Linked DNA regions of Mytilus edulis. The protein of the gene in region 3 binds, or shares a complex with, the protein of the main gene of each other region. Links are inferred from orthologs where the notes say so. Each region holds a gene or a part of one and is shown on either strand. Other genes may lie near its edges.

Region 1 (8,672 bases), on a different chromosome or scaffold from region 3:
ACGAATTTGCCGGTATTTCAAAGGAATATTACTTATGAAATCAATCTCAAGGCTAAGAAATATGGGTGAAATCGGGTCATTTTTCGGAATTCCCGGGTTATTTCAATGACCCGGCAGGTGTTCCAGGTGATCCCTCAGAATTGTGAAAATCTCAGGTCACACCCGCAGAATACGGGTCAGTTGGAATTGACAGGTATGGGGTGGGCAAAATTTCTAGCTTGTCCACTCTGCCCACCCATAGGAGTGGGCATGCAATTTCTTTTGTTTAATCAAAAGACTTGCAAGTACAGTCAATTGAAAAAAGCAGATAAGCATTTGTTATCACTATTTTTACAAAAAAAGAGATTATAGCTAGGGTGGGCACAGGTGGGCCGGTGGAAAAAGCAAAATCCACCCGGGCTGTTGTGTATATGTATAAAGTATTCATATTAAGAACTTATATCTATTGCAATTCTTTAAACCATTTATTTTAAGTATCAATAAATGAGTGGTTTAACATCCTTCACAGTACATTAATGCATTAGATGATGTATACTTACATGACTTTATTAATCACTTATGATGTCATAAGGTAAATCCTTTTACAACGTTTTAGGGTATTGTAAATTCAGAAATTATTGAATGCATTTTTTTTTAGCGTATTTTGTAGAATGCATGGACTATGGACTAAAATGCGAGATTAATTATTACGATTTCATGAAAATCTGCATACAATTATTTGTATCAGATATACAGACTTAAGAATGCATGATATATTATGGCAACACTGATTCAGTCGCATTATTCCCATTAATGAGGAGGGCTGGACCTTTTTGGGACGTCGGAATCAGGTGTTTTTAAGCTCTGGATTTCGGGATTGATCCTTTTTGGGATCTGGGAATTCTTTTTTTGAATTTTGGGATGTTGGGATTTAAATTTCTTTAAATTTGAGACCTCAGGATTTCATGTTTTTAAGCCAATGGCGTACAAGGGCAGTAAGTAAGTAAGCCCGGGATTTCAGGATCAGGACCCCTCCTACCCCCCCTCATTAATAAAAACCTTGCAACAAAAAAAACCCTAATAGAATCCCATGATCTTAGGGTAAGTGTTGTAGAGACCTGCTCCATTTGCATGTACAATGTATCACCCACTATACGAAATCTTTACTTATCCAAAACGTCACAACAGGAAATAAGATCAACAAATCACTTGACTATTTTGATAATGTAGCATAAATGCTGAAGATATAAGACATACATGGACCACATGTACAGTAGGTGTGAACAGAATTGAGGCAACCCTCCAAATTGAGAACATCTAAGATTAGCATCTGAGCATTGCAAGTTTTTTTTGTTTTTTTCATGTTTTCATTGGCTTGTAACAGGTTGGGAACAAACCCCCTATATGGTGATTATACCTGTATAGAGGGATAATCCTTCTTTAGAGGGTAAAAATTATCCCTCTATAGAGGGGTATTTTTGTTTGCACTGGATTTAAAGCAAATTAGGGCAGAATGGCATTCTCTTCTTATTATGGCAGTAACCTGGAACAGTTGATGCACCAATTGATGTACTTAATTTAATATGCACATGCCCAGTTTGATGCTTATCTGACTAAATATAAAATCTATTGTCAACCATGATTGTAAGCTGTGATGATCAGGTAAATTCTACTCACTTATGCCTCACTGAACAGAATTTCTATTGTTAGATTTAACATGAAATTTAAAGGTCAACTATTCCTTTTGTTGTTAATCAGGTGTTCAGATAGGTATACAATAGATTGCAAGTTTTGTCACTTTAGCAGAAAACTGGTTATCCCAATTTTTAGTAAAGTGCATATGTTGATGCATATAAGAAAAATTATTTGACTCCCTAGTTGTGCCTATTGCTCTATACGGTAGTGAAGTATGGGGAATAGGCAAACAACACAGGGATTCAGATCCCTTTGAACACTTGCAGTATAAATTTATTAAAGAAATTCTAGGAATACATTGTAAAGCATCAAATGCTGCATGTTTAGCCGAGCTAAATAGATTGCCTTTATATACCAGAATAGAATTTTCAGCAATAAAATATTGGCTTCATATACTTGAATCAAATAATTCACTTGCCCTAAAAATATATAAAGCAACTGAAAAAAATAACTCTTGGATAATAAATATGAAAAATCTCCTTTCAAGACTTGGTTTTCATTTTATTAATCTAAATCCTATTGATATTAAGATGTATTTAAAACACATTCAAGAGAGAATCAATGATATAGCCTTCCAAAAGCAAGAGACTGACATCAATCAAAATAAAAAAATGAACTTTTTTAATATACTTTATAAACCAAATAAAAGACCCTCGTATGTTGATCAATGCAAATCCAAAAGTGATAGATCAACATTATGTAAATTGAGGTTAAGTGCTCATACTTTATCTATTGAAAGAGGGCGATATCTAAAAATACCAAAGCAGAATAGGGTATGCCTTTGCTGTAACAATGGAGACATTGAAGATGAACTTCACTTTCTTTTAAAATGTTCCTCCTATAAATATGTGAGAGATAACCTTATTAAAAAATTAAATAATGTTCTATTGAACAACAAATTTTCTTCCTTATCATATAACTTACTTATATCAATTCTAAATAGTAATTCCCAAACAATATTAAAAATTGTTGTCAACTATTTGAATGAATGCTTGTTGGTGAGAAACTCATTATTAAAAGGTACTTGATTTTTGTAATAATGTATATGCTTCTCATTTATTTTTTATATATTTCTCTCATAATTATCCACTGTCACTCCTTCATTGTATATATATGTTATTGTAGTTAGTCTTTAATTTGTTGCCATAACCATTTATTGTCAATGTGTTAGTGCTAATAAAGTTATCTTATCTAAGTTATCTTATAATGCTAGAGATTATAGCCAATATAACTAGAAAATGCCATTCTGCCCCAATTTGCTTTAAATCCAGTGCAAACAAAAATACCCCTCTATAGAGGGATAATTTTTACCCTCTAAAGAAGGATTATCCCTCTATACAGGTATAATCACCATACAGGGGGTTTGTTCCCAACCTGTTGAATGTATGTGTTTAATCTTGAACTGGACATCAGTAAGCGATCTGATATAGAAGAAAAAAATCACATTCATACTCTGGGTCCTGGTAAAATTGAGAGTGAATATTAAAACCAGAGGCAGAGGGATCTAGGTCTCATAGTCATGCAGTCAGAGGGCGTATCGAAATGAAAACACGTTTCCATATATTCCTACATAATGACAACTTTTCAGATCATTGAGCAAAGTAAACCCATGAGTTTAAGTTTTGTCTTTGAACTTTGAAATGAGAAAATCTTGCTATAAATACACAAAATACCTATGTTTTAAATGAGGATTTTCCTCATCCGCCATTCCTGTTTACATCACTAATTTACATTCGGACAACATATTTTTGTACAACTGCAAGGTAAAGTCATAAGAGTTCCAGAATGAAATTTAAGTTAAAATAGCGGGAAATACAAACTATAGATGATTTAAACTTAGTTTTACTTAAGCCATTATACAGAGGCGGATTTAGAGCCCCCCTTTCCCGAAACAATTGGTTATATAGGGAATCATTAATCTTTGCACCTTTTAGCTACATAACATTATGTATCATAAGTTGTGGACAAGGTTTTTGTAAAGCTTCAAGGTCTGAAAAATACACTTAATCATCATATTTTGACAAGATCTCCTAAATGCAAGGTTTTTAGAGCCTATAATATAGATATTTGTTTTTCTTGGGTCTCAGGTTTTTGAAAAAATCTCTTTATGAACAAAATGTGTGGCTTTTTGATATGTTATGAACAGAGACATATAGGTGTCATACCACCAATTAAAAGTCCCTATCTGTTCAACCAAATTTTGCAATTTTCACAGCTTTCTAAATAGTTTACCTCAAGTTTAACTTCATAGAAACTAGGTATATCCTGAATTGTACAGGTGTCACCTTTCTGCATGCCAATTTTCAACATACATTCAAAATCATATAAGAAAGCAGAGAGCTTCCGAAAGGAGGTACCACTAAAAATAACCCCTGGTTTTCTGGAAATCTTAAATTAGTATACTATGGAGCGCATTAATCCTCAATTTTTAATGCAAACTCATAGACAGGTAAATTTTGGCTCAAAATAGTCTTAATATATTTCTCTTTCAACAAAACTTTCATTTCTGCAAATTTGTTAGTTAGTTTAGGTGAACAATGACATCAAATGCACTTTTTTTTGTCCGAGTAGGCCTACTTTCACATACGTTCTAAATTTGAGGGAGTAATTGGTGGTATGACACCTAAAGAGACAAAAAAGTTGATTAGAAATCTTTTATTTTGCTTTATTCTTAATCCTTAGTCAATTTGTAGTTAAAAACAGCCTATTTGAGCATTATGCGACTTATAGTAAAAATTTCACAGCTCAATTTAAACTGACTGTAATGTATGACTTTGATAGAAAATACTTGAAAATTTCATTTTGGGCTACAGGAACATAAACTTTCAATATCAAGATCATTGTTTGCTAATTTTTTCTTGTTTGTTCTACTTCTTTAAAGACTTCCAACAATTTTTGCAATGAATTTAGTAAAAAATCCAAGGTATTGAAGTGTCGAGGAATATTGACCCCCCTTTTTTTCATCTGGTGTCAGTAAAGTACTACAAATTGATCAAAAGTGCAGTCATGGTCATTTAACCGTGTTTATTTACATCAGTTAATAAAATTTAAGATATAAAAATTTCATTTGGAATAATAAATGGTGCTTTTGTGAGTTTCTGCAGTGCTTACATTAGGCTATGCTATCTGCCAAGTACATAGTATGACGCAATGCTATAAGGGGTAAAAATCAAATAATTTCATTAAATCTGCATGACAAAATTTTTTGGGGGGTAGTAAACAACTTATGTTTCAATGTTTAACACCACAGAATACCTTTCTGTGCATTTATAACATTATTTAGGACATTTTTTATATAAAAGCATATTGTCAGGATGGGAAAAGCTAAAAATAGGACAAACTCAAGTTTTAGGCTCTAAATTTGCAATATGTGACATTTTGCCCCCAAAAAGATTGAAATGTGGCTACTTTTATCTCAAATGATCAGTTAAGACAAAAAAAAACAATTGTTTTCTGATTTTGATGTTTCACCGCATTTTGCTTAAAGGTGTCATACCACCAATTAAAAGTCCCTATCTGTTCAACCAAATTTTGCAATTTTCACAGCTTTCTAAATAGTTTACCTCAAGTTTAACTTCATAGAAACTAGGTATATCCTGAATTGTACAGGTGTCACCTTTCTGCATGCCAATTTTCAACATACATTCAAAATCATATAAGAAAGCAGAGAGCTTCCGAAAGGAGGTACCACTAAAAATAACCCCTGGTTTTCTGGAAATCTTAAATTAGTATACTATGGAGCGCATTAATCCTCAATTTTTAATGCAAACTCATAGACAGGTAAATTTTGGCTCAAAATAGTCTTAATATATTTCTCTTTCAACAAAACTTTCATTTCTGCAAATTTGTTAGTTAGTTTAGGTGAACAATGACATCAAATGCACTTTTTTTTGTCCGAGTAGGCCTACTTTCACATACGTTCTAAATTTGAGGGAGTAATTGGTGGTATGACACCTATAATAGATCATAATACAATTGTCTCTGGTTATGAATCTTAATTGTCCTTTTTCAACGAAGGATGTCTCTCACCAAAGAGAATAAAAATGTATCTAAAAGACCATCTATAGCTTTAAATCCAACATACATTTTAAATTAGGTTAATAACATCATTATTTCACATTTTATTGGTATTATTCAAATTTGACAAAATCTGTCAAATTTGTGGTTTTCAGTTATCTTCAGGTATTTTCCAACCGGTCATGTGTATTGAAATAAGCCACACTATTGTTAGAATCTCAAGTACATCCAGCTGCATAATGTAGATGTATTTGTAAAAAGATTGCAAGCCTTTTTTAATTGCTGTGGTGAGAAATGAATTCAAGTAAAATTTGCCCTACCTCTTTATTTTAGTGATACTTGTTACATTGTACAAAGTTAAATCTAAATACAGGTATGTATGATGGAAGGACAGGATGTTCCAATTTATTGAAGTTGTAAAGTTATGCAGATGGAACTGTAAAGTACACACCTTTTTACTGCAACTCCTCTTGCATGTTTTTTTTGTATGAATATGAAACTATATATACATTGAATTATTTTATATGCAGATGTTCATGAGTGGATATTCCATATCTTATGTAACATATTCATTGATTTTTTTATGTCCACCAACCTGAATAGTACTATTCTATGCCCAACATCTCTGTTTATGAATAGATTCTTTGCATAAATTACAAATACTGTGAATTATTTGCAAAACATCAACTTTTTTTCTTCATTTAATAAACTACAAGTTCTAAAGAACCAGTGTCGCTCACCTCAATGTGTGTGCATGATCAGCAAAGGGCAAAAACACAAAAAATATTTGTAAAAATAGTCATTAAAGAACTTTAACTCCAAAAAGGAGTCAACTGAAGATTTCGGCCATTAAACTTGTTTGTAGATCTGGTCTTGCTGACTATTTTTACTATTCAAATTGTCTGTCTTTTGAAATTTTTAAGGGAATTCGCTTCTCGGTTTCAAAGTAATTAACTTTTCAAAACACTAGTTTATATTGATAGGGGATTAATAAAGGAATCCAAAGAGCAAAAAAAATATATAGGTCACTGTGCTCGTTTTCAATATATTAGCCATTGGAATTTTGGCGGGAAAATGTTCTCTCTTGACTTTCCATAGCTTTATCATTTACAAGTTAAAGTCCTCAAAAACTATTAAAAAGTAATTAAAATTTTAAAAGACTTTAACAGACAGCTTATCATTATACATGTATAAGAATTATCAAAAGAAAAATGGGGGTCACCGGGCAAAATTTTTTTATGCATTCAAATGGATAAAACCAAAGGATTCCAAAAATCTGACAAAAATCCCAACATGACAAGCCAGCTTCTTTAAGTTATTAGGCAGTACAAAAAAATCCTATTATAAAAGGGAAATAATTCTTTTGATGACTCCACTGATGACGCAAGTCATGTTGACTTTTGCTATTTAAAATCTCTATCAACCATAGTTTTTTAAAAATAACAGGCAAAACTTTGTTAAACTGGTAAAATTTGTCATTTATAAAGGGTCGTCTGGCAGTTTTGATGTAAATATGCAGCAACTGACCTCAACATTGTGACCATTTCTGTCCCTGTCAAGATTTTCTTTATGCATAGGAGTTTGCAAGATTATAGACGAAACTTGCATTTTACCTATAGGTATTCTTTAAACTAGATACCCCAATAAATATTGGGGCCCAGAAGACAACAGTTTTGTAAAATTAAAAGACAATGCTGGACACAAGTGATGAGATTAGCTAACTTGGGCCTGTGGGCCTGGTGAGCTTGAAAGCAAAGTTTTAAAATATAAATCTCTAGATTGTTAAGATTTTAAGTATTTACTGTTTCTAATCCAGAGTTTTCACTGAAATTGAAAACTGATCTAATTTTGTGTAATCATTTATAACAGTCCCAACTTGTAACTGCTAACAATTATAGCTTCAATTTACGTTGCTATGCTCTGTACCTCTTTATTAAAATGCTCATACATGTTTGGAAGGGCTGAAAATTGACAAATCCTACAATCATATTACCAGGAAAGGCTGTAACTTCGCACTTCAGTGATTTTGTTTAAACTAGATTTTTAAACTGCTTATTTCAAAAGCATCCTTGTATTGTTCATCGTAACTACACATTATATTACATGTATATAATTAATAAAATATGTATAAGAGTTTTATTTTCTTTATTTTATATATTCACAACAAAAACTTTATGTTCTGACATTTTAAAATATACAGTAAAATTAAGATAAAAATAAAAATAACTTGTTCATTATCACAGTCCATGGTAAACAATAATTACATAAGTAAATTTGAAAATTTTCAAGTCTACTTCTTCTTCTTTCCTTTCTTTCCTTTTTTGCCCTTCTTTCCTTTCTTCTTTTTACTGTATGGTCCAAATCCTTTTCTAACCATGACTCCTCTCCACCAGGCTTGGATCTGTAAAACAGAGAAATAAAGAATGAAAAATTTTGATTTTTGTGAATTTTCTTCAACTGTTTGTGCAATATAATATAATTCCTAATAGTCCATTTGCCAATTACCGATTTAATTCTGTTATTACACACTTTTTAAACAAATTTCTTCCCTTTGTCAATTGTACACCGGTTCCATACTGGACAAAATTTACTTTTGCCAATGCAAAGCATGATGGATTGAAAGTGATGTATCGGTGGTTTAACTAATTTCTGATGTCAAAAGTATTCAGCTTAACAACAAATTAATGTAATTAAAAGATTTGAAAACCTCAAAGATTCCTCACATTATGATCTTTCTGCTAGCTCTCCATTGTAAATACAAATTATTGTCCTTCGTAAGGGAGACAACTAAGAAAGGGATCTCTAATAACAGGGTTAATTACAGGAATTGGCAAATAGCCTATTGACCTTATATATATGATGCAAAGATTAATCAAACTGTGTATTAATATAAGTTTGTTTTTCACTAAATGTATGTTGGGCACTAACTGGTAACAAAAAGTCCAACTTGATGAGAACTTTTAAAGACTGCAGAAACTAGG
Region 2 (7,946 bases), on a different chromosome or scaffold from region 3:
TATTGTTGATAATACGTGGTTCACATGGTTCAACATTCAACAAAAGTGTTTTTATCTCTTTTAAAATGGTCAGCTTTTACTTTTATTAATAAAACTAAAATACTTATTGTGATATTAAAGGATAAAAATTACCTTAAACAGTATTTCTTTTAGTCATTTTGTGATGTTTATTTGAACATGTCATTGTAGTAATTACTTGGAGACATCTGTACAATGTAACATTTGGTGATCAATGCATTAGAAATATCACACAGGTGTTTAGATAAACATAAAATTAATACAGGTAGATGAAACATTTATAAGTATATCTACATGTTTTTTCATTTTGATACTGGTCAATTTTTTTTTTAACTTGACAAGGCTTTGGAAAAGACATTTTCGAAGAAACAACTAATAAAACATTACACAGAGAATTACTTTCTAGCTCATCTAGACCTAAGCAGCATGTAAGACATTTTCATTACTTTATATTAATTCCATTTTCCTAGCTTATACAAAATCAAAGATCGTATCATATTCATTTTGTAATCAATGCAATTAGTGTCTCCTTCATGGCAGTCTTGAACATATGCATTAAAAAAAACAAATATTAAATAAACAACACTGCTAATGTTTAGAGTTTGGTGCAGGTTGGATGTCATTGTGCAACAGTTTTATATAGAACCCTATGGGAAAAATAGAGAACTCTTTTTGTCGGAAAACATTATCAACAACTTAATTAACATACTATCCACAATGATCTGTGTCCACACTTATTTTATAGATATTTTACAAAAACTAGATTATATAAGGTCTATAAGATGTCTTATATACTATACTAAGTTCGAGTAAGTTAAACGGCTTGCCATACAAAAATAACAAAATATCTAATAAAAACGTAAAGATTTAACAAAACACATTAATATCAATATAAGGGACTGCAAGGTCATTTTCTTTTGTTTTGGGGATCTAAGAGGAAACTAATCTTTCAAGTCACAACTTCTTTATGACTTCATGGAACATCATTTGGATATCCCCTTTACTGTATATATCCTCATTACTGCTTTATAAAGACAGCTCGTCAACCTGATCTAGCAAGATCGACAGACATGATAGGCAACAGTCTCCTGGTCATTCATATAGCCGGGCGAGAAACAAGATAAAAAACTGATTGGTCTATATATATATTACATGGTGGGATAACTGTACATGAACACATACTAATTGAAGTGTTACAGTAAACAAAATATCGTTTTGAAATATGCTGAAAAAAATATTGTTTGTGATTAGCCATTAAAAATGATTTAGGGTACAAATCCCTGTCTTATCACAGAGAATCGAATAGTTGTTCCCTAATGAGCCCCAGTTGCTCACCTGGGACCTACTTTCAAATTTAATTCATGACCTCACTTTTGTTTGTTTTTGTATTGCTGATTTTTTTATTGTGAGATTCTTTCTATCTAAAAGCTTTTCGCAAAGTAACAGTCCCCAGGAAATTGTGTTGCCACACCCTGACACATTATTTGGAGTTCCAGCAGACCAGTCTTTATTTTTATTTTTTTATGCATTTTATCGTAGAAGCAACATATACCAATTTTAAAATATAGTTTGACTCTGATTGGCCTCAAACAGTGAGAACTTCTCTTCCCATGGGAAACACACTACCTCAGGACTACCGATGCCGTTTAAAAAGAATAAACATGTTGTGATGTTATACCTTTTATTTCAGAGAAGGAAGAAGTTTTGGTACCATTAAAATGTTTAATCCCGCTGCATTTTTTTGCGCCTGTCATAAGTCAGGAATCTGATGTTCAGTGGTTGTTGTCTGTACCATGATGCATGTCAATGGAATGTCTTAGTGATTCGGCTTTTTGTATTCTCCTTGTAATTGGTAGAAATTTTTGAACATGCAGACTTAATTTTCCTATTGGAAGTTTACCATGAAGTATTAATGTGTGTAATGTTAGCAGCTGGTTTGTTATTCGATATTGGATATTTAAAATTGTGTTGAAATTTTTTTGAAAAAAAGAGCCCCCTGAACTTTCAATGTGCTTAAAAATGAAGTAAGTCATAGACTCTGTATATAAAGGTTGTATAAGAAGGATTTCCCAGAATAATGTCATATTCGTTATCTATGGAGGGCTTATATTGTTACTTTTCAGGTATAAATTATCAAAATTTTAGGACAAAGGTCACAAGGCAATGGTGATAGCCCCCTGATCTCCCGATCTTCCCAATATTAAGCAGACATTTAGTCAATAGGTAGATGCAAACGTGACTAAAAGATATTTGGGTACACTTTCTGTCTTTCGAATAACGAATAATCTCAATTCAAATGGAGTTTGCAATCATAATCATACCCATTTAAATACATCATTAAATTCTTTTGAATAGAAAATGACATACAGCATCATGGTTACAATTCATATTCTTTAATCAGCATTAAAAGAGTAACTTCAAAAATAAATTGACAGCTAATCTTTCGGAAAATTATCATTAGTAGGTCGAACATACAATACAAGAGGATACTAAAGTTATATATCTGGAAACCAAATATCTTCGGACAACAGGTGTTACCAATTAACGACCACAAAATATTTTGCGGTCACAAACAAATTGTTTGAACCAAAAATAAATTGGATAATTTGAATATTTGACAAAAAAATATATTGTTGTTAATAGCAAACATTCAATTTATAGGCAAAAAAGGTATAATTGTTTCCTAGTTCCACTTAACTTCTAAGATTTACATAATAAGATTGAAAGCGTTCATCCAGGATAGTATATCTATAAGTTTATTGACTAAATTCTTCAATGAAGCTCACTGTAATATTATGGAGCATATCATCTGTACCAACTTCATCAAACACCTAGAAAGTCACTCCATCTTGACTGATGCTCAAACTGGTTTCAGAAAAGAATGGTCCTGTGAATCCCAACTGATACTCACAATTCAAGACCTAGCAAAAAACATCGACAATAAAGAGGAAGTAGATCTAATTCTCTTAGACTTCTACAAATACTGTACAAGATCAACCATTATGGCATTGGAGGAGCGACATTAAAATGTCTGAGAAATTTTCTGGAAGACAGACAGCAATGTGTACTCCTGGAAGGAGAGTCGTCAGAAACTTCGCTAGTGCAGTCTGGAGTTTCACAAGGTAGCGTGGTTGGCCCGTTTATGTTTCTTATTTTTATAAATGACATCCCAGAGTATGTGTCATTTTCAAATGTTAGACCTTTCGCAGACGCGACTGCGTTCTCTACCGACAGATAAGAAATGAAACAGATGTGACCATCCTTCAAAAAGACCTGGATGGACTACAACAATGGGAGGCAGACTGGTAGATGGAATTCCACCCCCAAAAATGCCAACTCTTTTAAGAGTAACAACAAAGCGAAAAACAGTTCAGGCAAATTATGATATCCACAGTCATATCCTAGAAGAGGTTGATTCTGCGAAATATCTTGGCGCCTCCATACACAAAACATTAAGTTGGAATAAACACATTGACAACATCGCAAAGAAAGCTAACTCTAACAGAGCTTTTCTTCAAAGGAACATCGAAAACTGTCCTAGCCTAGGTAAGACTAAAGCCTTATGCTACCAAACGCGTGTAAGACCACTAATAGAATACTCTGGTACCATCTGGGATCCATCTACTAAGGCAGCAACCATTTGATTTTATGGATTTTTTTTCTGGAAAAACTATTTTTTTGGCGAGAAGTCGAAAACATTTTTTTTCTTTCAATTTTAGCATTTACATATATAGTGGCAGCTGAGGGTGAAACAAACAATTTTTTTTTCTTAGGAAAAGAAACAAATTATTTTTTTCTCCCAAAACTGGAAACAAACTTTTTTTTCCAAAAAAATACATAGCCCCCCCCCCCCCCCCCCTCCCCCGAAAATCAAATGGTTGCTGCCTAAGGACAACATTAACAAATTAGAAGCTATGCAACGCCGACGCGCACGATTTATACTCAATGATTACAGAAGAACGAGTAGTGTAACATCAATGCTACAGGCACTAAACTGGAAGACAGTACTCCTGACAAGAAAGGAGAGCTCAATGTAAGGTCATCATGTTTTACAGGGTAGTGCACCAACTGATTGCCATACCAACTACAAATTTACAGCCAGTGAACATCATCAATCAAACAATCTGAAATTAAGGTGTGGTAAATGTCATTGTGAACATAACAGGCAAACAAAATTGCATGAAGACTAGAGTCACAAAGTTGTTCAAAACAATTTACCCCACTAGAAAAAAATATAAAAAAATCCTATGTTTTCTCCAACTGGTTACCCCAAATGAAAGAAAATTACCAGTCTCTTAGATCTTATTTAGAAACTCTGGGTGTCTCTGGCGTGAGGAACGATGAAAATCACGAATAAAAAGCTGACATAAAAATATCAAACTGAGAAGCACTGTAATTCTTTTTGGACAGGTGTCGAGGTGACACTTGTACTTGGTGTTATTTCTATCTTAACGTTGGATTCAACCTACTGTCGGTATTCAGATGCACAATTCTCGCGCGAATAATTACGTCCCCTTGTTAGAACTCTTCATTCACACGAATCAGGAGCAGAAAAATCGAAATATTATTTATTTTTGTGACAACATGATGTGGAATTGGAACACAAAATAAATCTGAATATGTTCTAGACACACCTCTTAAAACTCAATCTATGTATATAATACAAACAAGTACACCAAAGCACAAAAAATACACACCAAAACGGCGGAGGTAGTTGCAGACAGAAAAATGAAAATAAACAAAAACATTGACAATTTTCTTAATTTGTCATACATGAACAAATAACTCATTAAGTATCAATAATAATGGTGAGCTGAAGAAAAGTGGAATGTTGGTGGCGTTGTGTCTTGCCTCTTTTATTATTGGTGTTGTGGTTACTATTCTAATCCAGACATTTGTCATCAGAAGACGACTTCTTGCCATTCCTGTAGAACCAATTTCCCACAAACCACAGTTCTGTCAATATAAATTGCCAAAGGTGAGAAAAAGGAGATAGAAAACAAAAAAGTCTATAGGTTGTTTGAGACCTAAAATTTTTACAACATCTGTCATCATGGTCAACGTCTTTTCTGTTTAATATTTCACAAAACTATTGTTCAAAGAAAATTTACATTCAAACATGTTCATTACTTAGTTTTACATTACAGTATATTTCAGAGCTCCAGATAAGCTGCGTATTTGCGTGATCACGCAATACAAATAATAAAAAACCCAATGCAATTGCCCATTGCAGGGTTCAATAACCCAATTAATTCAAAGGAAAACCCAATTATAATCCAAAACCATAAGTTCTCAACCCTTTTATTGGCCACCATTTGCGTTATTTACCCTTATCTGTTTACAGTCGACGCGTAAACTATTTTTATAATATTTATAATTGGAAATTTCCTTTCGTTCTAAAAATAGATCCCTGCATCAAGTAGCTGAAATGGGTCCCTGTTAGAGTTTTCCGTTGCTCAATAGCTACACGTGTTTTTGAAAACATTTCGATCTTCTCGGCGTTTATCCAATTAGCGTGTGTCATGAAGTCATATTTTTTTTCGCATTGCTCGGGATTTATCATAACATACATTGAATTAAAACAAAAGTGAATGTCCGGTAAAAATATTGAATAGAAGCATGTTTTCTGCTTCTTTTGAAAAGCTTAGGGAAAGTTATGATGATAACAAGACTCAGCCAGTGTTTTTAGGAAGCGTCCATCGAACACACGGGCGTGTGTGCGTACCTTAACGAGAACATTGCTAATAAAAGCAGGGTTTCCTCAAAAACGAAATCAGTTGGAAAGATGAAAGGCCAAATCAATTATGACATGATAAAGCATCAGAAACCAAAAGTTCTAATAAAAGACAAATAAACCCAGATTTATGAAAATTGGAATAAAACAAAAACATTCAAGTATAATTAGAGTTTATATACTATTTTTTTTTTCTTCATTTTACGGTTAATTAATGAATACACACACAGGCACTGATCTCAGAATTTATTATATAAAGGTATAGGACGAGTGCCTGTGAATACACAATATCCGGTTTTTTTACAGTTTATATGAGAAAATACAAAACTAGCAGAAGGTTTGAAACGGAACACAAATCAAACCTACAATTGCTCGTCAATAAACCAAATAAAACAGCTAGCAAATAACCCTAACCCGAACCCTAAACCAAATAAAACAGCTAAACAAAGAAAGAAACATATTTAAGATGGAAAAAAATCTGGGGTTGATATTGCCTAAATATTCAATATTGTGTTGATGAAAAAACCCAATACATTAAGGAGCTTGGTGGTGAAAAACCCAATTTGATATTAACATGAGGGGTGACTTGGAATTGATAATGCAATCAAAAAACTTTATCACCCAATTATATAAGAAAATGGTGGGTAAAAAACCCAATTTGTGAATTCTTATCTGGAGCTCTGATATTTATGAAAGTACTTATTTCAAGTCAAACTAAATATAGTTTGGAAATTTTCTTCATCCTTATGCTTCATCTTTAAGCTTTAGTATTTTTAGTCTTTAGAAGTGTCAACTTGCAATTGACACTATAATCTCTCTGTATTTTCGATCACTGTGGTAATTTTATGTCGCTATTGTATAAAACTCATTAGTACACTTGCTACCTCAATAAAATGCATGTAGCAAAGCAGGTATAGACCAAGTTTTGGTCTTCATGTTCATGTTCCAGGTAAACACACTATGTACATTTTGTAGTATGTATACTGTATACAAGAAAACATTCTTTAGGACTCAAAGAGTTGAACATTCATTAAATAAAAAAATAAAGAGTTGATTCTTTAATAAATAAGAAATACCATTGTAACTGGAGAGCACAAATTTCATTACAAAATTGCTTGTCTCCACTGGGACTCGAACCCGGGACCTCTGTGTTACAAGGCAGCGCGCTAACCGACTGAGCTAAAGAAGTACTTCCTTAGCTCAACCGCTTACGGCTGACTAAGTATCTACTAAGTTTTTCTAAGGGAAGCAATCCCGTCACACCGCCCCCACCTCAAGAGTCATTATACTCTATAATGATGATATTTTCATCTTTTTTATATTTATATTTTAACCTGGCTAGGTAATTCTTCTAACAGTGGGTTATTATTGTTGGGCGCCAATGTAACCGTAGAGCACGAATTTCATTACAAAATTGCTTGTCTCCACCGGGACTCGAACTCGAGACCTCTGTGTTACAAGGCAGCGCACTAACCGACTGAGCTAAAGAAGTACTTCCTTAGCTCAACTGCTTACGGCTGACTAAGTATCTACTAAGTTTTTCTAAGGGAAGCAATCCTGTCACACCATGCATAAACATTACATGTAAAAGGTTTGTAACATGATGCATGTTCTGATAATGTTTTACAGGAATTGCTAGCAGTAATACATGATCAGGATCAGAAAGGACGCAAAGAATCATGTATAGCATTAAATTTGGTCATTCAGTTTTTATTCAAAGAGCTACGAGATACAAATCGTGTTCGAAGGTATGGTTTCACACATTCATGATTGAAGCTAGTTTTAATAGCCACACAGTTCACATGCTTTTAAAAGTCAACTTTTATAAAGGAGACGTACATATTAGGCTAATTTTAACCTGTTAACATGGTTAATGATTTGAAAATAAAAAAAAATATAAATACTGTTACAAATCACATTTTTTTAAGATTAGAAGAAAATAGATACATGTACATGTACATTTATGAGAAGACGTGGTATGAGTGCCAGTCACAATTTGTTAAAAAAAATGTCTAAGAATGGTTGTCAACATGGAGCCTTGAGTCACACTAAACAGCAAGTTATAAAGGGCCCCCAAAATGACTAGGAATGTAAAAGCATTCAAACAGGAAAACAGAGTCTAATCTATATAAAAAAAACTTGAAATACTTACATTGTATGTACCATGATGTACCACATCAACAAAGGGCAACCC
Region 3 (8,024 bases):
ATGTGTACAGTTCTACATTAGGATCTTACAATATACTATTACTAAAGTTTTTTTTATATGAAAAAAATCATTTCGGGGATTTGCCAAGACAAGGTTCAGATGCTACTTCTTGAACATGAAGTTTCATAACATTTGCTCTTGATACAGTTTTTTTTAATCCTTAACAATTGGAACCTTAACTTCTGTCAAACTATTGACAGTTTTGTAAAATTCCATCAAATTTTGACAAAGTTACAGATCATGATCATGACCCCTAAAAGAAACATGAACCTCATACTGAACAAAAATGTTGACACCATCAAGGAATAGACTGGAATACAGGATTGACCACTGTTTTGCTGTCAAGAAAACTCCTCATCAAAGTTGTGATGGCATAAATAAATACAGTATTACTATTACTGTTCATTTACATATTTCTTAAAGTGACTTCTCAACTTACCCACTGTCCCCTAATATAATAACTTTAAGCAAAACTTTTTTTCTTGATGCCATCTGAAAAAATAATAATCCATTAATAAAATTTTGACATGTTTTGTTTTCAAATTACTATAAAAGATATTATTTATTTTTTTAACTTGCATTACTACAAATTAATATTGAAATCTTTTTTTTTCATCTATCTCTATTTTATTTATTTGCATATATGTATACATAGATTCCAAGAAAAATGAAGGAAATTGCAACTTTCAGGCATAATTCAAGCATTTTAACAGAAAAGCTGGTTATCATAGCATATTCTCAATACCGTTGACAGTTTGACACAATAACATAAAGAGACAGCAGCAACCACTGACCACATTCCTGACCTAGTCCTGACATGTACATGACATGTTTACTTTCAGATCATTAGTTTAAGAAATACAACAATGTAATGATGTACAAAATGTGTGGTACATGACGATGTACATCTAAATCAATGTCTTTATAGCCTACTCACATTAGAAACTAGAGGCTCATGACAACCTGAATTTGCCTACCTTGCAAAAAAATGTTATATAAATAATACTTGATATCAATTTTATAGTTAACAACAATCACTTTTCCATTGTGACGTCAGATATTTTGTTTTATGCCGTCCAAAATTTACGGGAATCTGTGTATGTCTATTCATATTACATGTACATAAACGCTGTACTTGTGGATTCATCTAATTTCATGGATTTAGGAAAATCGGTATTTTCACAGATACATTTTGTACATGTATTTGAAATCCTGTTTTTGCCAATACTTGGCTACAAGCATGAAGAAAAAATGAACTTCAAAAACTTTCAATATCGTGTTCCATCTTTACCAATGAAATCCATGATAATTGGTATCCCACAAATAATGTTAATTCCATAGTAAGTTGGTTTTACATGATTATGACTGGTAATAAAACTAATACTCATTGTCTAATACAGTGATGTCCCTGGTGTCCGTGCGGCCAGTGATACTGCGCATTAGCTGATTTCATCATATAAACAAAGTAACACAAATAAAATCGTTCTTGTTATTGTTTTAGCCTTCTGAAGGGATAAAAAACAACAAAACTGATAAGTTCAAAAGTTAGATAATAATTGCAATCCTGTGATTTACAATATTTGGCCAATTTTCGGAAATTCGGGTCCGTTCAAATTTAACCGATTTTTAAATTTTATTTTCACCGGAAGTCACGTTTCTTTGGTAATTGTGGGAAATCTCTTTGAAACAAAATAAATATTTGCCCACTTGAAATGGAATCACATCTTATTTTATCATTTCTTTTGGATATTTCTGGAAATATTTTACATCAATATGCACAAAAATTTGTAATAAAGTAAAAATTTCTAACCAGCGATGAAAATTTCACATCAAAACAGTGGCAGATCCAGGGGGGGGGGGTTCCGGGGGTGCGCACCCCCCCTTTAATTTTGCCGATCAATGCATTTGTATCGGGACATATGTTTTGCACCCCCCCTTTGCCCTGGGTTCCCTGGGTTAGCACCCCCCGTTTCGAAAATTCCTGCATCCGCCGCTGCAAAATTAGGTCTCAAACTCCAGACGTAAAAAATGGCTTCAGCGTTATGACGTGGTAGGAAGGCGTCCAAGAAAAAAAATTAAAATAGCCTTGCCAGACGTCATAATATTTGGACTATACAACATGTACATGACAGTTGGCATATCAGCAGTCGGATCAATTTGATCTACATTAGTGTTTTGAACTTATTAAAAAAATTATTGTTTTCAAATTTTATACCAATTTCAATTTGTTTTAGATGAATGAGTGAATCGGCCTAAAGTAAAGGACAACGAACTGTTGGTGCTTACTGTACAATGTACTGTGAAGTAATAACATCAGCAATGAGAATGATGAGACATATGAAAATTACAGAAAGGCGCAAACATTGGAAAGAGGTCTATGGATGATTCTGAATGATTCAAACGTTAAAGTAGCCATTGTCATGATTGTAGAGCAGCGCCATGATTTCAGACTGAAGTAAAACTGTAAAAATGTATTCAAGTTACTCAGCTACACATATCATACTATTGAAGACATATCATACAATTTCGAGACTGAGCATTTTTCCCCGTGTGGCACAATTTTTTTTCTCATGTCACTCTTTCATTGAAAAAAGAAGAAAACAGACTTGACAATAAATTATCTGGGCTCTAAATGAATCAGCTGATCAACATCAAATTTATTGAGGTCATGTTTCTAGGTATTTTTTTGTGATTTTTTATTTGTGTTATTTACGAAAGTAAAGTCTCCTTCTTTTGCAAGAATGATAGACATCTTAGCAGTTTTATGTATAATCAGACGTTATACAGTTTGTTGATTAGTTTATTTCAATATTTGTCCTGTTGATCAACATTTTAATAAAATAAAAACTAGGTGTCATTGAACAGTCGTTTCTGGTGTTCTTGTGCAATTTTATGACTGACAATAGCGATCAAACTGAAATATGAGTTCAGATCTTACTTCTAAATTAAATTACCTTGTTTTTGTTTGTGAATAAATAGGTTACTTCAGCTGTAAGATCTGTTAATAATCAAAACTCCTACAAAATGGCGCAGTCGCGTGACCCATATTACGTCAAAATTTATTTACTTCCGGAATAATTTTTCGGAAGGTCTCTTACAATATCGACCCAAAGTTGTTGACATGTCAGGTCCAGGGCAACGTGATTTTGAATCATCATCATTAGGCACTATTGAACAGTAAGCACGTGTGCACAAAAGCAAATGCGTTTACTGTAAACATTATGATTTATAAAGTTTTCTGACAGTATGTAATTTTATTGATTATAAGGCACAAAATAGTGATGACTGTAAAGACTATATATTTTTTTTATATATAAAGTTGTCAGACAATGAATGAATGATGGAAATCAACTGATCAAAGGGAGACTGAACCAGTTATTTTCATTGAAGATTATTAACTCCTATCGTTGTAAACTAGTACTATATCATCTCGTACCATTGAAGTTCTACTCGGGTAACATTGCTAACTCCTTTTGTTGTAAATATGGCACGTACACAACACTAGAAGGTCCCTAAGTTGTTGTATTGTAATGTAAAGACTTTCTGACCTTACACTTGTATACTTGGGCATTCTATAGATTACTAAAAAATTATAACAGGTAAGGTTTTCTTCCTTCACATATTCTCAACATGTCAAAATTTTGGTGCCGTGACCAGGATGTCAAGAATATATGAATAAAGGAAGAAAAGTTGCATGTACAGTTTATTTATTTAGAAAGACACTTCTTGACAAGGTGAAACAATAGATGACTATTTAACAGCATTGAGAGAATATCAAAAAGCATATGGATATATCAAAGAACAAATTAAAGTTGGTGGTGTTGTTCTCCTTAACTATGAGTCCACAAGAATTAATTAGAAATTGTTTTTATAACTGAATTTATTTGAGGAAACAATGGATTTGTGAGTACAGCAAAAACGAAATTTAAGTATACTGAAACAACAAGGCTGCATGATAGTGAAACTTTATCCGCAAGAAATTACATGTAGTATGGTAAACGATGATAGATGTGAACAAAGTACTGTACAAGACATCTGTCCAACTTCACTGACGTCAATTATTTACTAAATTAGAGATAAAGGTTCTGAAACGGTTAATTTGCCAGTCATGACCAAATCTAAAATCGATTTGTCCTAAACATTAAATTGGGATTTAGGACAAATTTTTTTTTTTCAGATTTTTTTTTCTGTCATTTCGTTGAGATCTGGTTTCTTAATCACCATTTTGTACTTGTTTTTGTGCTATCTCTTTTCTGTAAAAAAAAAAAACTGCCACTCCAGTATAGTATGAATATCCTGAGGACCTTCCTAAATACAAAATGTAGCTATATTTAATGTCCTTCGAAAATTATTCGATTAATGATCGCTTATTTCTTTTTACCAGTACATTATTAATTCTTATACATATGTCTAAACTGACATCCTCATATTTCTTTTTCAGCTGGGATTCCACATATGAAAAAGAACTAGAAGCTTTTAAAGATATAGGTGATGTTGGAGAGATCTGGTAAATTATTAAATGAAAAACTAGGTTAAGAAAAGTAAAACGTTTCTGCTTTTTCTTGGAAAGGGATTATGTTGTGGCATATTTATAAACATATCTTCTATATTCTTTAATATGCATACATGTTCAGTAGTTTGTTGATGTGGTTCTTACATGTAAGTGTATCTCGTTTCTCGTTTTTTATATATAGTTAAGACCGTTGTTTTTCACGTTTGAATGGTTTTACACTAGTTGTTTTGGGGCCCTTTATAGCTTGCTGTTCGGCATGAGCCAAGGCTCCGTGTTGAAGAATGTACTAAGACTTTGACCTTATAATGATTAACTTTTACAAATTGTGACTGCAGAGATGTCTCATCAGCACTCATACCACATCTTCATATTTCTATATATGATCAAATTATGAATAGTAATAAATCAAATGTTGGATATAGACATGATAGATACTTGAACTTGCAAAGATCAATGTAAGTGAACACAAACATTTAGTATTAATAAATAATAAGAAGATGTGGTTAAATTGCCAATGAGACAACTCTCAACCAAAGACCAAATAATGTAGTAGTCAACAAATATAGGCCTCTGTACAGCCTTCAACAATGAGCAAAACAAACCTCATAGAAAGCTATAATTGGCTTCAATAGCAATAATGATATGTAAAACAATGGAAAAGAGTTAACTAATAGCCTTAGGTGAAAAAAAACATTTGTTTCTTGTTGGTTAAAAAAACAACAATTTTTGTTTATTTATGTCAACTTTATTTTATAACTTTTATTGAGGCTTATATGGAAACTTCATATAATAGCTAAGAAAAAACTATCAATATGATATTGATTGTTTTTTCTTGGCTAAAATGGTTAATAACAAAATTTTTATTCATTGTTATTTTGATAGCTGTCTGTTTGTTTCCATATAAGTTAGCGCATAAGTTTTTGTTCTTCGTTTATTGAGAGATACAAGTGAATGAGATATGATAAGCTGGCCCTGAAATTTCCAAAACTGTAATATTAATCCAATTCCTTAATATTACATGGTTCAATCGATAAATGAAAAATAAAATGATACTGACCTAGTTTAGAATAGAAATTGAAGATGTGATTTCACTATGACATTATAAACATCTTCAAAATTGACATATTGTGAAATGACTATTTTGCACACATTTTGTTGGTAAAACTAGTTATGAGCAAAATGAGGAGAAACTCTTTTTATCGTATCTTTTTCAAGAAAAAGTCTTCATGTTACTTTTGTTTTTGTTTCTGCTGCTTGAATAAATGATGCATACCACAATATTTTAAGTTTTCACATAAAATGCTTTTGATCGGAGGAGAAGAAGTAAGAATAAAGATGCCAAAAATGAAAAACTGCTTATAGAAAGAAAAAGTTCTAATACCTGTTCAATAATTTTAGGTTTGGAGAGGATAGTCAGGAAAGAATACTGGACTGGATAGAAGATAATGAGGAAATAAAATCAGATGATTCCATAATAGATTTAGGCTGTGGCAATGGAATGCTCCTTGTAGAATTGGTAGTTTGCTTATTGTTGTGTCCATGAACGTTGTTTTACATTCTTCTTTACTGATGACTAACATGAGTAAATATATGTAGTGTACTTATAACTTTCTTTAAAGTCAGAAAAAAGTTTTAAAAAAAGGGAAAATTCAAATCAGAAAGTCCCTTAAGTATCAATTGGCAAAATCAAAAGCTCAAACACATTAATCAAATGGAAAATAACTGCCATATTTCTGATTGGTAAAGGCATTTCATTATGTAGAAATTGGTGAATTAAACCTGGTCTTAAAGCAAGCTGAACCTCTCAACCATATCTCTTTAAATGTAATTCATATCTCTAATCACTTTTAAATACATTTTTTGGTTTTATTAGTACAATAGTATTGGCTCTGCCAAACATGACATCACCACTCATTCTTATAAATATTGAAGGTTTATGTTTTTTCAAAGTTACATATAAAGCATTTCCTGAATTTATTAAGATGACAAATTTATGAAAAGTATATATGGTAACAGTAACATTTCTAAATGAAGAGGGCACAAATACCAACTTATATATTCATACTTGTTATAATATATCATTGTAACCCAAAAGCAATAACGCACTGGAAGAGTTGGGATATTCAAAGTTATAATTTTTGCTTTATTGTTAGGATCTTAAAAGATTATTTATTTTTAATACTGATTGACCATGTAATCATTCAGGGGCGGATCCAGCCATTCTAAAAAGGGGGGGTTCACAACCCAGAGTAAAGGGGGGTTCCAGCTATATGCTCCCATTCAAATGCATTGATCGGCCAAAAAAAAGGGGGGGTTCCAACCCCTGGAACCCCCCCTCTGGATCCGCGCCTGTCATTTGTGCCAAGTGCAAAATGGTTAGCTTAACATGTCTCTTGGGATATCCCTAAAAATGTGATAGGGTAATTTTGGAACATCCTATCTGTATGAACAAAGAGTGTTAAATGTACAGCAATCAGACAGTGATCCAAAAAAACATATTTAAACATTACGATCAGTTGATTTTCAGCTATCCATAAAACCTGCTCAGCCACTGATATTAGTATTAAGATATGAAATAAGTATCATCTACATGAACAGAAAAAAAAACTAATCATTACAATTTTGAAATATTCCATGGAAATCATAGTACATGTAGATATAAAATGAAAAACTATATTAATAATATTAACAGATATATATATATGTTTTTTATACTTTAGAGCCAGAGAGGTTACAGTAATTTGACAGGAGTTGACTATTCTGAAGGTGGAATAGAATTAGCCAAGTCTATAGCTGTAGGCAGTAATGTTGAAAATATAAAATACGAAGTAAGGATGTTTCACTTTTTATTTTTTTAAATATGATATCAACCTGATTAATTTAAAAGATTGGTCAAAGTAGTTAACCAATACAAACAGTTGTGATGTCAGCATTTAGTTTTAAGCTTTTTGTTATTTAGACATAATTGTTTGCTCTGCAAAAAAGTTATAGAAATTTCAGCTTTCTTGTAGTTTTCATACGACCCCAAAAATTGCGGTTGTATATTGGTATCACATCGTAGTCGGTGTCGTCGTCTTAAGACGTATGGTTTCTGGATAATTTCATTAGTATACCGGTAAGTATATAGAAATCAATAAAATTTTAACACAATGTTTATAACCACAAAAGGAAGCTTGGTATTGATTTTGGAGGTTATGGTCCCTAAGGTTTAGGAATTAGGGGCCAAAAGGGGCCCAAAACCATCATTTATCTAGTGTCAGGACAATTTTAGTAATTAGAAATCAATCAAATTTTAACACAATGTTTATAACCACAAAAGGAAGCTTGGGTTGATTTTGGGGGTTATCTAAGGTTTAGAAATTAGGGGCCCAAAACAAGCATTTATCTAGTGTCAGGACAATAAGTTGTGTATAAGTTTTTCAATTGTTCTGAAATTGTACCCATTGTTTAATACCATAAGTAATAGGTTGGGATATATTTTAAGGGTTATGGGGCAAACAGTCTAGGAAAA

Evidence for each region. The genes of interacting proteins can lie anywhere in the genome.
Region 1: the proteins of ras-related protein rab7 (region 3) and run domain Beclin-1-interacting and cysteine-rich domain-containing protein-like are in contact, whole or in part, in a crystal structure (PDB 6WCW), measured with the Homo sapiens proteins. The link is inferred for Mytilus edulis from reciprocal best matches to the Homo sapiens genes RAB7A and RUBCN. Residues at the interface, in NP_004628.4 of Homo sapiens: Ile41, Gly42, Ala43, Asp44, Trp62, Gln71, Ser72, Leu73, Gly74, Val75, Ala76, Phe77, Arg79, Ser101, Asp104, Glu105, Ile108, Gln109, Ser111; in NP_055502.1 of Homo sapiens: His818, Asn821, Met822, Lys824, Thr825, Arg827, Leu883, Gln885, Ala886, Lys887, Gly888, Phe889, Ile890, Glu892, Gln895, Glu897, Ile900, Pro903, Cys915, Lys916, Arg931, Arg934, Arg938.
Region 2: the proteins of ras-related protein rab7 (region 3) and PDZ domain-containing protein 8-like are in contact, whole or in part, in a crystal structure (PDB 7F6J), measured with the Homo sapiens proteins. The link is inferred for Mytilus edulis from reciprocal best matches to the Homo sapiens genes RAB7A and PDZD8. Residues at the interface, in NP_004628.4 of Homo sapiens: Lys10, Leu14, Asp16, Ser17, Lys38, Ile41, Gly42, Ala43, Asp44, Phe45, Gln60, Trp62, Gly66, Glu68, Arg69, Phe70, Gln71, Ser72, Leu73, Gly74, Val75, Ala76, Phe77, Tyr78, Arg79, Thr98, Ser101, Trp102, Glu105, Phe106; in NP_776152.1 of Homo sapiens: Ile999, Lys1000, Leu1001, Val1002, Arg1003, Lys1004, Glu1005, Gly1007, Leu1008, Asp1009, Asp1010, Phe1013, Ile1014, Lys1017, Gln1044, Leu1051, Asn1054, Asn1055, Val1058, Leu1077, Leu1084, Gln1085, Thr1088, Ile1092.

What each region holds. Positions count from the first base shown.
Region 1 is NC_092346.1:87,321,204-87,329,875, forward strand, and holds the start of run domain Beclin-1-interacting and cysteine-rich domain-containing protein-like, read right to left. Parts: upstream 3,425-8,672; 5' UTR 3,383-3,424; coding exon 3,348-3,382; intron 1-3,347. Other genes in the region: dynein regulatory complex protein 9-like, read right to left, coding at 7,982-8,092.
Region 2 is NC_092351.1:31,657,502-31,665,447, forward strand, and holds the start of PDZ domain-containing protein 8-like, read left to right. Parts: upstream 1-4,522; 5' UTR 4,523-4,846; coding exon 4,847-4,996; intron 4,997-7,381; coding exon 7,382-7,500; intron 7,501-7,946. UniProt on the Homo sapiens protein: Molecular tethering protein that connects endoplasmic reticulum and mitochondria membranes. PDZD8-dependent endoplasmic reticulum-mitochondria membrane tethering is essential for endoplasmic reticulum-mitochondria Ca(2+) transfer.
Region 3 is NC_092344.1:39,828,445-39,836,468, forward strand, and holds the start of ras-related protein rab7, read right to left. Parts: upstream 3,219-8,024; 5' UTR 3,178-3,218; coding exon of another isoform or gene 3,122-3,177; 5' UTR 2,955-3,121; intron 493-2,954; coding exon 440-492; intron 1-439. Other genes in the region: EEF1A lysine methyltransferase 2-like, read left to right, coding at 3,122-3,177, 4,442-4,507, 5,912-6,029, 7,234-7,341.